Drosophila melanogaster: one gene and its partner. The gene in region 1 interacts genetically with each later gene. Each region holds a gene or a part of one and is shown in the gene's direction. Other genes may lie near its edges.

What was found.
Region 2: of crb (region 1) and galla-1, changing one suppresses a phenotype caused by changing the other (phenotypic suppression), as found in Drosophila melanogaster (one study listed by BioGRID).

Annotation. Positions count from the first base shown.
Region 1 is NT_033777.3:24,292,088-24,298,810, forward strand, and holds the start of crb (crumbs), read left to right. Parts: upstream 1-2,990; 5' UTR 2,991-3,539; coding exon 3,540-3,777; intron 3,778-6,723. Other genes in the region: Uck (Uridine-cytidine kinase), read left to right, coding at 751-882, 1,042-1,157; CG5715 (uncharacterized protein), read right to left, coding at 1,340-1,834, 1,891-2,283.
Region 2 is NT_033778.4:20,667,711-20,674,595, forward strand, and holds galla-1 (galla-1), read left to right. Parts: upstream 1-3,493; 5' UTR 3,494-3,673; coding exon 3,674-3,968; intron 3,969-4,035; coding exon 4,036-4,148; intron 4,149-4,408; coding exon 4,409-4,559; intron 4,560-4,629; coding exon 4,630-4,727; 3' UTR 4,728-5,785; downstream 5,786-6,885. Other genes in the region: exu (exuperantia), read right to left, coding at 890-2,185, 2,269-2,421, 2,491-2,640. UniProt on the Drosophila melanogaster protein: Component of the crb-galla-Xpd (CGX) complex which is essential for proper mitotic chromosome segregation in early embryos. The CGX complex is also required for cell proliferation in developing wing disks.

The DNA of each region.
Region 1 (6,723 bases):
GTGCCCGATACTTTGAAAACTACTCCTATCCATCTCTGGTTTGTGAATGTTATTATAAGCAATAGCTTTATTACGTTTTATAAGCAACATTTTCTTGAATATTTCGTATAAACTCCTGACTAGAATACGTTAATTACTTTGCTATTAAATCCCTTTGCTAACTTAAACATATTGGAGTTATATTTATCTCATTCCTTAAACTCACAACTTTTGGTCACATACATTTTAGATGTTTCTATGAATTCTTCTTAAGCAATATTTATATCCTTATAAAAAGTAAGGGCTAATATAAATTAGATATCATTAGTACCGGGCATCTTTGAAGTCGGAACCTGCGACTATAGTGTTATCAAAACGCGCCCCTTTTAAACACCTTTATGCAGTCTCAAATATATACAAATGCAAGGCAGTGATTAGCCTATCAAGGCGTGAAGATAAATCGGTGTTTCATTTAGTAAGTACACAACCAGTTTATTGTAAAGCACACTAACTTCAGTCACAAAACACAGTAGCTTAACAATAACCAGAACATGCCGCCCAGCTTAGATGCGTTTAGGTAATAGATCCCACTAACTAGAGCTAGAATAAGTCCTGGGCTTAGACTAGACCGCTTGGATCGGCGGAGCTCGGGAGGAGCAGCGAGGTAAGTGCATTGTTCCACATTGAGTTGCAATGCTTACGATGGTGCAGCATTACGATTTGATATTTCCAAACTGAGTGCGAACTAATTGTCCGCTCTTTTCCTTTCAGTGGCCATCGATTTGATCGTTCAGCATATCCGGGACTTCTTAAACAATCGATCTCGGCACGGATCAACCGGAAACATGGCTCTCTACATGAATCTGGATTTGAATGCGACGGGTGCCGGTTTCGCGGGCCCAGGTAAGGCCACCATCCAAAAGGCGCGTCCCCACTAACCATCCGCTGACTGGAGTGAATGATCCGGATTACTAACCAATCAACCAACCAATGCATGCAATCGGACACTTGCTGTGCTGTATATATAGTATCTTCTGTTATGCTTTGTGTTTCCCTGTGAAGATGGAAGTAACCTCGGCACGTACAACGCCATCCGAAGATTCTCGACGATCTGCAAGGAGCTCAACATGCAGGGCAACTATTTCTTTGAGACAAATAAGAACCTGCCGTACCACTAGGATGGGATGGCGTGAGAGTTCCCGGAGCAGTACAAGACACGACGCACATAGGCGATTGTTAATTATCTAACCAAATATTGTACCCATAGACATATTTTTTCAGTAAACACAATTGATTGTTGATGATAAATATTTATGTTTGTCAAAATACTGTTACCGAATGCTTCGACTGCAGTTGTCATCTACACCTTGCACTTGTACATTGCGTTGATCTTGCGCACATCTCCGGCTGAGAAGCCCTTGCGTTGACCCATCTGGCTGGCATCGGATGTGGCACGCAGTGCCTTCAACGTGGGCTGGCCATTCCGAGTGAAACTGGTGGGGGAGTAGTGCATCACACTGCCATAGTCGTATTCCACGCCGAAGCCGTACTGTGTCCTGGAACTGGACTTCTCGAAGTTGACCATCATCTCGGGCTTGATGTTGTCCTTCATCACGCGCACATAGGAGTCACGTTCGTGACGATTCTGCTCATGGAAGAAGCCCAGGGCGTGCATCAGCTCGTGAATGGGAGTGCCGTATGTACGCAAGCAGTTGGGCGACTGCAGATTCACTTCCTGGCGACCACCTAAGCGCCCAATGCTACTCCAGCAGCCAGACTTTCCGCTACCAATGGAGATGTAATCCTTTTCGGTGGTCCTGGGCTTGAAGCGCACGCATGTTTTGGTGTGGTATTCCTAAGATACAAAATCTTATTTGTAAATTGTAATAGGGACTATTACTGAAACCTCACCTTAAAAGCGTGGTTAATATTCCCCAATTCCTGGCTGGTAAAAGGACCTTTGATCTCGTAGGGCACAACGCCGCCCGGCCAGCGGGAACTCAGCGCCAAAATGCCATTACGAGTGCCATTGAATCGGGCGTCCCTGTAGCTCAGTGGAATCAGGATGTCACCTTCGTGGTAGGTTCCCAGCTCCTCGGGATTCAGCGGGGATTCCACACCGAGTGCCTCAACCAAAGCTCCAGTCGTCTCCACGTCCGGATTACCGAACAGAGTATCTCCAAGATCTGTCAAGTCAATCATTTCCTGGGAGTCCATATCCTCCAGGGGCATGGAATCTCCCAGAGAAATGCCCAGTATAATCAGTAGCAAAAGCGAACCAGTATTATTTTGCGATTTGCCCATTTTGCTAATTCCCCAACTGCTGTGATTTCTAACCAGGCTTACCCACATTATATAGTCCCACCTAGACCTCCAAAAATTGACGACATGTTGTCGGTGCTGCCTGTTTATGCTGAGTTCTCTTTGAAACGATAAGTCGGCGCTTTGTGGCCGTTTACATTTACATTAAGTACGTAGTTGCTATCCGCCGGCTTCTTGATTTATGGGGAATTTACTTTTATGCATTCCGACTTGAAAATATGTGCAGTGCGGAATTTTCGCAAGTTAAGATTTGCGGTATTATAAAAGGTTTATTCTATTTGGATTATGATGATGTAGGTCACAACTTACAAAACCCATAACTGCCGTTGGTAATTTAAGTGAAGTTTACGTTTTCATGTTCCCGCCATAAATTAAACTTTACTATGCTCGTGTATTTTGGAATGTCACCTAGACATACACACGATATTAATTGATATATTGAATAGTTATATCAGTAAAGTTTTATGAAAATGTAATTAACGGTTTAATTCTTGTGCGAAATCAATTCAAGAACAAAATATTTTTTTTGTACATATTGTACCACTGTGCAACTTGAATATCAGTGTGGCCATGCATGTTGACTCTATATCAAAATCCAGCCAAACCTAGCCAAGCGGACTGGTCACACTGCACCATATATAAGCCCACGAAACGGATATCGCCGATTCAAACGGTCGAACATTTTTCTTGCTGCTCGTACGTACGTTTTATTGGTTGCTCGCGCTCGTAACGTTTTTTTCGCCCCGTTTTGGCCAATGTGTGTGCGCGCGCGTGTGTGTGTGCTGCTTGCAGTTCAAAAGGGCAGCGACAACAACAAGAACAGCGCACCTCTCTTTTAAGCCAAGTCTTCGGCGCTCGTATGTGTGTGTGTGTGTTGGTGTGATTCAGAATCGTGGCCTGGGAAGAAATGGCAAATTAGTTGGCTCAAAGTGGAATCTCTGTGCTCAATATTCAAATTCAGGCTAGAAAGTGTCGCGTGCGAAAGTTTGCAAATAATACAACTAGCAGAAAAAGAGGAATATAACTTAAAAAAAATAAAAATAACCTGTTCTAAGCCAAGTGCCGATTGCGCGCGTGTGTGTGTGTGCGTATGAGTGTTTGCGTGGAGCAGAGAGAAGGGAGAATGCAATTACCAACAACAACAAGCTCAATGAGTATCGTTTGAATAGCAATAATATCTAGCCAAAAGCAACCCTTTCCAATACGAAAACTCGACTTGAGCCAACAAATCAGCGATCATGGCTAAAATCGCCAATGCGTCACTGTCGCAACAACAAAAACAGCGGCAAGCAGAAACAGCAACGACCACAACAACAACAGTGGCGGCATCAGTAGAAACAGCAACAACAACAGCAAGAAGTCGAGACCGCACGAAAAGCGCAGCTCAAATTACGTCGCATTTGCTCAAGCGCGCCATTTCAGTTTATTCGTCGCCTCAATGGATACCGCTCTTCATACTTATTTACTTAGCAACAGGTGAGAGAGAACCCTGAGAGGGAGCTAGCGAGTGAGTGAGAGGGAGGGCGATAGGCAGTCGAGGACATTCAGGAGGAGAGAGCGAAGATGGGGACATGAGAGAGCAACACGGTGTTTACGCGGTTCTTAAGCTACAGTGATCACTCCACAGCACTGAACTTGCCCGTTATAAATTATTAAAATGTATATTAGATGCCCATTTTAAATGGAATTTGTAATGTTGTTATTGTGTTTAAGCCTTTGGCTGCTCATATGATTAATGAGTTAATGAGATTGAGTTACGGAAGTCACACTGTAAATAATTTATATGATGAGCCACATGCATTCTTTAGCTTAAACATTTGCTGATGTTTCAAAAGCTCGTAATCGAAAAAAAAGAGCAACAGGTCATGTGTGTGTGTGGTGGGGCATTCGTGTGTTTTGGGGATGTTGACCAAGTCATGTTGGGTAAAAGGAATTTGGATTTTCAATGATTTCGGGCCTACGAAAAACTCGTTCAACGGGTTTTCCTTCAAGAAGTGACTCATGGAGCTGGCTTACCTGAAGTTTGATTGTGTTAATTATACACTCATTTCTAATTTTTGATGATTGTGTGCTCGGTCTTATCTTGCAAACAAAAGGAATGCTTAGAAATGTATTAGCTTCGATTGCGTATAAATTTATATTTAGTAGAGTACAACTTTAGTCGCTGAGAGAGATAATTAATCAAATTATAGCTTCAAAGGCGGTTAATGTTAGCAATCTTGGCCAAGAAGAATTAATTACTGAAACCAGAAGAGATATTTTAACGTGACCCGCATTTTTTACACACTGTAGCTTACAAATGGATATCATATTTTTAGGTAAATAACAGGGAATCGTAACAAATTATTGTTTCTGCATTTGTTGATACTGGTGCGATTTTTTGGTAATAAAACCTCATTTGTCTGCATTTTCAAAGCGCTTTTAGCGATATCACAACAGTGAAATCTGTGAAACTTATCGCATAACGATCATAATAATTGATTCACAACTCTTGCTGACTCATTATGTGTAATTTTCTGTTACATGTTGTCCGCGGCTCAATTGTTTGGCTGGCTTAGCATTGTCTGCCCCCTTTTTCCAACGGATTGTGCAAAAACGACCTCAAAAATTGGGTCTATTTATTTACAATTCGAGTACCAACCCTCCAAACGGCCAGCCATCCGGCTGTTGTTACGCGCAATCTTATCTTTTGGCCGGAAAGTGAAGTACAACAGTTGCAAAAGCGCGGCCAACTCAACGTCAGCAATACCGCAATTCCGTTGATAGGTTGATAAGAAGAACACTCAGGAGAAGGGAGCACAGATAGAGAAAGAGTTTTCCAACTCGAAGTAGGGAAAGCCCTGGAGTGCAGCGAAAACATAGTAAACCAGTTTATCAGCTCTTGAAGCTAATAGTAAACAAATTTTCAGCTTAATAATTAAAAAAAATCCAAACGAGTGAAAAGCCCTAATAAAGAGCTATAATTCATTCATTTCCATGAACACATTTTCTTTTAATTGTAAAGAACCAACCTCTCTATAGGCCCTGTATTTTCGTATACCTTTTATCGTAGAATTTATCAAATGACTTTGGTTTATGATTGACAAGGAAAACCGACGAATAAAAAGAAGAGAAAATGAATGTCTGGGCTGGGAAATCCCTGAAAGGCATCACAGCAACTGGTTTATGGCAGCTTCCATCGTAAAATCCAGACACCGACAGCGAAGATCATCAGCGTCATCTTCACTTCGAGAGTGGTTTCTGTACGGCTTTCGTTTGAATTTCCGCCCTAAACAGATATAATCCATCATTTTCAGGGGAAAAATCGCGGCACAGGTATACTAGGCACGCTGGAAAAGTGGAGGGAAAACACAAATGAACCGAAACTACCTGCATTGCGTTAACGATAACAACACGTGACCCCGCGAGTTTATGGAAATTCTCTGGCACGTACATAAATGAAAATCGAGAATGGAATGGAAATTGTACGCTGGACACACCCGCGTTCTCCGCTCTCCGGTGTCCGGTGTTTCAACCTGGTCAAGTGTTAAAGTGCAATCGGCCGTGACGCGGGTCGTGGGCCATGTTCCGTGGGCCTACGCAGCCGGCCGCGACCATTGCCTGACGTTGGCCATTAGTGCAAGTCGTTAGCCAGGTCTATAAAAATAGCCAGAGTATAACTGAAAAAGAACTGATTTGCCCCAGTCCTTTAAAGGTTAGGGCGTACTTTACTACCCAGTACTTAGTGGGGAGTGGGGAATTGTGGCGGAAGTGGAATTGAATGCAATACTGAGAATGCAGGGCGCACATTTCAGGACCAATTTTGGTTATAGCCGAAATAATTGGGATGTGGACTCTTGGTATGATTTTGGACTAAGCATAGAAAGTTGTAATTAGGTAACTTTAAGTCGAGACAACTGCTTAGTTCTGTCTAGTTTCTCCTTGCAATGTTCCACGTTTTCTGCGACTGCATCGATTAGCCAGCCACCTTGGGAAATTACCGATGCACAAAAACCACAAATGTGAGAAACAATATGACATAGTGGGGAAAATATTATACTAAACTGAAAAGACAGTGGCAGCTTTCGCTTTTACACGATATTAATTCCAAAAATTTATTCGATGCAAACAAATGTTTAAAAGTTGTGGGCGTTGTTCAATGCTGTCCGTTGGATTGTCTTTATCGCGGTGATCACGTAGTGCCGTTTTATCTGTCGCTATTTGCATACGCAGCGTACTGCCAGCAACAACAAATTCCATTGTTAGCATTGAGTCACACCAACAACGATACCGTGGGCCACAACGCACCAAAATCGAACACAAATTGTTTGGTAATTGAGGTGGGAAATTGGGGAACATACTCTAAGGTTCTGAAGGCAATTAACGGGCTCAGCATGCGTGGTTTTATTATTTATTTCAGACCATATTAATAGCATGTTGTAG
Region 2 (6,885 bases), on another chromosome or scaffold:
GATAGTGTGCGTCGACAGGCCCGTCCAATGGAAAATTTTCATCGAGGCGTTTCGTTTTGGATCATATTTTCCCAATCTCCCATTTGAGTGCGGCGATGTGCATCGGTTCGCCGGGAAAACTATGCCTAAACGCAGCGAGTTCTTAATTGTACATCATATTTGTTGTTCCTTCTTCTCCATCATTATTTCTAGCATACGCTGCTTTAAAGTGTGGATATATAGTCTCTTGAGTTTACAGTGGGCTCAGCATCCTCCCTATGCTGGACAATATAGTTTTCAAACGTCTCGATTAACAATTCACTCGTTTCAAAAATGTCGCTTGAAGCTTGTGTCATCACTATTCAACAGTCACTGTTTACGTCACAGTCACGGTTTACTCACACTATCGATACACCAACGTGCTCGTGAGTTGTGCGCGGATGTGTTTGTTGTGTTCACGGGAAATTTGCTTCCACTGGAATTTAAAGCTTGTCTGCACTAGATCTTCTAAAAGGAAGAAAGTTCGTATGTGGTTTAAATCTCCATTCTCTGCCCTTGTCTTCTTGTGTTTTGATCATCCATTTTTTGATATACTGAAATGGCAAAATGTCGGTTAGGAAACTCAATCCCGAAAATCCCAAAGTGATTTGAATGATTAGCTTAAGCGTTGTGAGTTTATATTGAAAATATGTAATAAAACCTTTTACATTTAGCTAAAAAAGGCTACATTTTTATCAATATATTTGATGCATAAAATTCATTAAAAATACAAGCAAGTGTACGCAATTCATAAAATTAATCAACAATCTACATGAAGGCTTACCCCTCGTTAACTACGTTATCTACAAAGCAAATGGCAGAAGTATCTCAATATAAGATATTTACTTTACGGATCCACCAGAACTGGATTTTAGTTGGAGGCCGTGATGGCCACCGGTGTCGGTGAGGGTTGTGCCACGACTGGGCTTATGGTTACGGCAGGTGGAGCGCTATTGTTGAGCTCAGACACGCCTGAGGAGGATATTTCAGCAGCAACCTTGAGTCCATTGGGGGTTGCACCCAAGCTTTGACGCGAGTTGCGCTTACGGTGCATACGCGGCTTGTTTGGCGAGGGAGTCTTGGTAGTAGAGTCGGGCAACGAGGAAACGCTGCGCGACTTGTCACCTCCTGCTCCAAACTCGGTGCTAGCCGATGGGGAGCTGGATGGCCTAGCGTCCTTCACCGATTGGCGGCCGCCGCGTCGATTGCGACGACGATAATTGTTATTATTGTTGCTGTTACCCTTGACAACCGGCTTCACCGTGGTCTTCTTGGGATCGAAATAGCTGTCCAGAAGCTCGAGCAGCTCCGCCTTGTCCTTGCTCTTTAGCCGGCCAATTGACTGCAGGGCTATGTCCAGGCCCTCGATGTTTTTCTCTGCCCAGATGGCACTTAGCGTGTTCAAATCGAACCCATTCTCGGCCAGCACAATGCGGAACTTTACGGCACGCACACGATGGTACAGAGTGGTCTTGAAGTAGTTCAGGAACACCGGACGGAAGGAGTTTTGACGCTCCAAATTTTCGATCTGGATATCCAGCTCCAGGACATCGGACACCACCAACTTGGCAAACGGACGTATGGCATTAAACATATTCTCCAATGCCTCCGAGCTTTTTGGTTCCGGCTTGCCGTCGGAGTTGCTCAGCTGAAGGGCCACATCAAAGGCCAATTTGGCACGAACACTGGCATTGCCATCAAACAGTTCCCGCTTACCCTGAACGGCGTTCTTGCTAGATTGCTTATCGTCACCATTGGTCACGGTACTGTCCCTGGGGGATATCGATACCGAATCGGACACCATACTAGATCCAGATCCCAAGCCAGATCCAGATCCAGATGTGGACGCAGAGCAAGCCGCGTCTTCCTCCTTGGTCGTGGACAAGATCTTGGAAAGCTTTCGCAGACTGTAGTTCTTTATGTTGGCATCGCCAATGGAAGCCTTGGCCAGATTGATGCTGTTTGCAAACGACTTCACCGACGCGGTGAAGCGCTCCAACAGGCCGTACTTCTTCAACGACTCCAGGATCATGTAGGGAATGAACTTGCGCTCTTCATGATAGATAAGCACAATCCCGTCCGAGCTGGGACCCGCCTTGGTCTTCAGTTGCTCAAGCCAGTTGAGGAAGTCCTTGAGGGCAGCGATCTCAGACTTGGATTTAATGATCTGAGAGGATATTGTATGTTGAATTGTGGATGCTTCAATACTTGACTGCCACTATTAAATGGACTGGACTGCACTGGACTCACCTTATAAGTCTGCATCGACTTCAGCATACGATAAAAGCCAATCGAAATAACACGAACTTGATGACGCTGGCGAGCAGCTGGATTCAGATTCATATATGGCATGATGTACTGCTCGAAGTGGTCGGTGGGTGTATAAGCGGCCAGCTGGACAATCTGTGGGTTTATCGCAAGTGGGGTTAGGACCGAACGACGAACGATCTAACGGCAGTCAGGGGGTATTACCTCATCCATTAGACGACGTCCAGTGGTGTCGATATCCACGCCCACCAGGATATAATTACCGGCCGGCAGCTCAACTTTATCGCCCACGGGCGACGAGGATTGATCGGCGACGGCAATGGCCACTCCGGCATCGATGTTATCGGCAACCATTTTCTTATATGATCTGCGAAAAGCAATCTAGAAAATTCGGATAACGAAATTAGCTGAGTCACTAGAATTTTTTTTTTTTAAGGAACCGATTTCCTTTGCAAAACGCGAACCGCTTTCACTAGATTTTCGATATGAAGTGACGGGCTACGAATTTTCAAGAGTCTATTAAACCCAAAGCTACAACTAACGGTTTTCTTCCAGTGGCGCCATCTTTTACACAGATGTTTTTATGTGTATGTATGTATGTTCACTTTCACCACACTTTAGCACTTTTCTTTTGGGCTCACCTTTATTGAACTCCTTTTTCGTGTTGGTTTCGATGGGCTCTTTCGCTTTTTACGAACTTTTTCCTTTATTTTTCAAAAGGTTAAAGCGAAATTTGCTTCTGTTCGACGAGCTTTCACAAATAAGAAACAATTCGTACGACTAACTAAAACGTAATGAATAATTTCCTGATGCACCCGACGGCCTAGGAAAAGTGCGCGAATTTGACATATGCAAAGCCTGCTAATCGAGGTTTTTGACTTAAGTACGATGGGTTAGACAGCTGCAACTCGTCCACATCTTGCCACAACGCCCACTGTGCAGGTGAAAACTTTTTGCAGAATATTTTTACCGCTGCTATAATAAAATATAGTCTTTCAGCTTGTAAATAAATTTTTTTCCAATTATTAGCCGGCAAAATTGGTGGGTAAACAACAAATATTTGGACAAAAGCGCAGACAAGAACTGATAAGAGGATCAGGGATGACGAATTTCAAATGGTTGCGCCAGAGATGACAGGGTATCGATATCACTATCGATAGACTTATCGAAGACGGCTTAGCACTTATACCTACTCTGCAGCCCTGGTCGGCAGAAAAACAATAATCAGCTGATGCCATCGCTTATTTCCAACAATTTGCACCGCAAAAGTGAAGAATTACCAAGCAAATAGATCGCCTGCCGACCGAATTATGCTGCTGTAATCACCCAAGCACACAACGGTAAAGATAAAACCAGGCGAGATAACACCACGCACAGGTGCCACAACATGCTGTCCTACATAAAGCGCAAGCTCTCCGAATCCGACAGCGGCGTCAGTTCGGTCGCAACTGTGACGTCGTCGTGCGGCGGCGATAGTGGGAGAGCGGGCGGAACGGGCAGCAGTGAAAGCGGTACGGGCAGCAGCAGCGCCAGTATCAGCGGACGCAGCCAGAACGCCGACGAGTTAGTGCGCAAAACGAGCCAGATGTCGATGGATGATGAGGCCATTGCCTTCGGGGAGGACGCACTGCTCCATGAACTGGGCTACAAGAATCAGACGGAACTGCAGGAAACCATCTACGGTTCGATATTTAATGGCATTCTTTTTCACTTTGGCCTAGTTATGTAATTTCTCTTGTCGTTACACAGATCTGTTGCGCGGCATTCGCGATCCCGAGAAGCCGTGCACTTTGGAGGACCTCAACGTTGTCTACGAGGATGGAATCTTTGTGATGCCGCCCACGCGCTCCAATGTCTCAGTTGTACGTTACTCAATATCTTTATAAGCCATAAGCTTGAGCCCTAATCATCATTTCATCATAAGTTAAATCTGCGCGTGTGTTTATTTGCTTTCATCACTATTGTTGCTTAATATTTGAAAGGATTAACGATTTAGCTTCAAAATGACTTTAAAATTGATCTCATAGCTTAAAGTACTTGTATTATACTAAATCCACACCTCATAAATCTTTTGTGTAGTAAAAAGTTGAAATGCATGGTATTTGTCTCTTAATTCTTTCAGGTTCGCATCGAGTTTAACCCCACAGTGCCACATTGCTCGTTGGCCACGCTTATTGGACTCTGTATACGCGTGAAAGTAGAACGCGGACTTCCGCACAACATAAAGCTAGACATATACATCAAGAAGGGAGCGCATCAAACCGAGGAAGAGAGTAAGTTGGACCAACCAGATACTATTATCATACATATGTGTTCTAAGTAAAAATGATTACGTTTCCCCAGTTAACAAGCAAATCAATGACAAGGAGCGCATCGCTGCGGCCATGGAGAACCCCAATCTGAGGGATTTGGTCGAGAACTGCATCAAGGATGAGGAGTAGCTCTCTTTGCCATATCTTTTGTACATAGGGAATACTTTGAGGAATGTCTAGGATTAAGTGTACCATTAAGTTGCATCAGGGAGTGTGTGCTTAGCATTAAAGCCCTTAAAATCTGTTAATCGCTCGGCCGTTTTGATTCCACCAGAATATCGATTGCTCAACGTCCTATCTATTTTCCCGCCTATGCTGCTTACTGATAAGGTCCCCCGGGCCCAACAACTCTCATTGTTTACATTGTGCCGAAGCGATATGGCCGTCGGACATTCGGCCCAAGAAAACCGTGTGCACATCGGTGTCATGGCGGGTGAATGAATCTGAATCGCAATCGTATCGATGGGCCGGCCATGTTGGGCACCAGCCAGACGGCGTGTACGTCACACGGATTTATCAGCTTCAGAAGAGTAGAGAATGTTTGGGGCGTAACGCAGGGTAATCACCTGCCGTTGGCGCTGTTAAGTTGAGTGCATGACACACATTCGACTCAACTCGACTCGGCTAATTTCTTTGCAACTCTCCGGTTTCAGTGAGCACTTTGTTGCCATGACTGTCGCTGTTTCTGCTCCAATTTGCATTTCCGGGGTTTTCCATTTGTTAAATTGCACTGCACTTCCGCTCATTTCGCTCTTACTGCTCCCCCCACCAAAGTGGCAAGCCATAAATATTAAGCAATATCAATTAGTTGCTTGCCATCGCGCTCAAAATGCTTTAAACTAATTTCCAAAGACTTAGGCAAAAAACATCCCCACCAGCAATTAAAACCATCTGGCGCTGCGAACTTTTTGCCATGACACCGCTGGCCAATATTCACGGAATGGAAACCGGACCAGAGCAGACCCTTCGTGCCCCTAAGGCGTGCCGCGTGCCTCAGAAGGCGAGGGAAAAATAATAAAAATGAATGCGCAGACAAAAGCATATTGCGAATATTACGCTAATTGGCGACTGCAATCAAAGCGGACCTCGGCCTGGACACGTCGGCCGAAAGGAATAGGAGTGGCAGACACTAGCTTCTCCCAGCCTTCCAGCAGCCGTGTCGCCAGCCTGACCATGACCGAAGCCATCGGAGAAGCTTGTGCCCCCCAGCTCCACCACGCGGTTTTCAGGTGAACAGTAATTGGAGGCAGACTGGTCTGCTACTTGTTATCAATCTATATTATGTGGATATCCGTATAAAATAAACACTTTAAAACCAATATTTAAACTGATTACATTAATACATAATAGTTGATAATCATAATTCTTGGAATAGATAATGAGTAGAATCCATTTAATATGAGCTACTGGAGTGACACCTTTAATAACCACCGAAGAGCACGTGAACAGAGACTTGGGACACAGCCATAATGACTCAGTTGACACACCGGCAATGGCCCAGGAAGGAGTCATGGGAGATGATGGCCTGGACTGCGACAGAATTTTATGTGCGAAAAATGCATAATTTATTCTGTTAATGCATATGCATTTAAGCCGAGCCAACAACTGCAGCAATTCCCCAGGATTTGCTGACCGGCAATTGTCATTTGTGCAGCGGTCAAAGTGACCCATTTAATCCCGTCCTGCAGTGCCCGCCCAGTGCCACGCCCCTGCTCCCACAACCCCCGGGTTACATAACCCCCGAGTACATAAGTAGGCAAATGCAATGAGTCCGACTCCAAGTCACAGTGGCCCGAAGACGAGGGGCACAGATTGCGGCCACCGAGATTTCCTTCCGATACGCAATGCTGTTAAATTGTATGCCATTATTATGATTGCCATCGTGACGGCGGGCATCCGGGACGGAGTGCACAGGATGAGGATGCCGGAGCCACGACCGGCTGTGGAGTTGCATTCACACATTGTTCGCCCGATCCGGGTCTCTGCATATGCCATGTATTTCATTATGGGTCCCACATACGCATTTCATGCCCGCCGGCTCCTTGGATTGCAGCCACTGCAGCCTGTGCGGTTATGCCGTCTTTTCCGTTCAGATTGGAATTCACAATCGGAGTCAGAAGAAATGAATTAAAAACCGTAGTGCAGGTTTAAAGGAAGTTAAAAGTCATTTTAGCAGAATTAGGTATGATTAAAACTAGGCAAATAACACTAAAAACTCTTTTGGAAGCTCCAAACCAAAGCTTTAAAACGCATCTAATGAGTACTTTGTAGTCGATTCCCTTCGGAT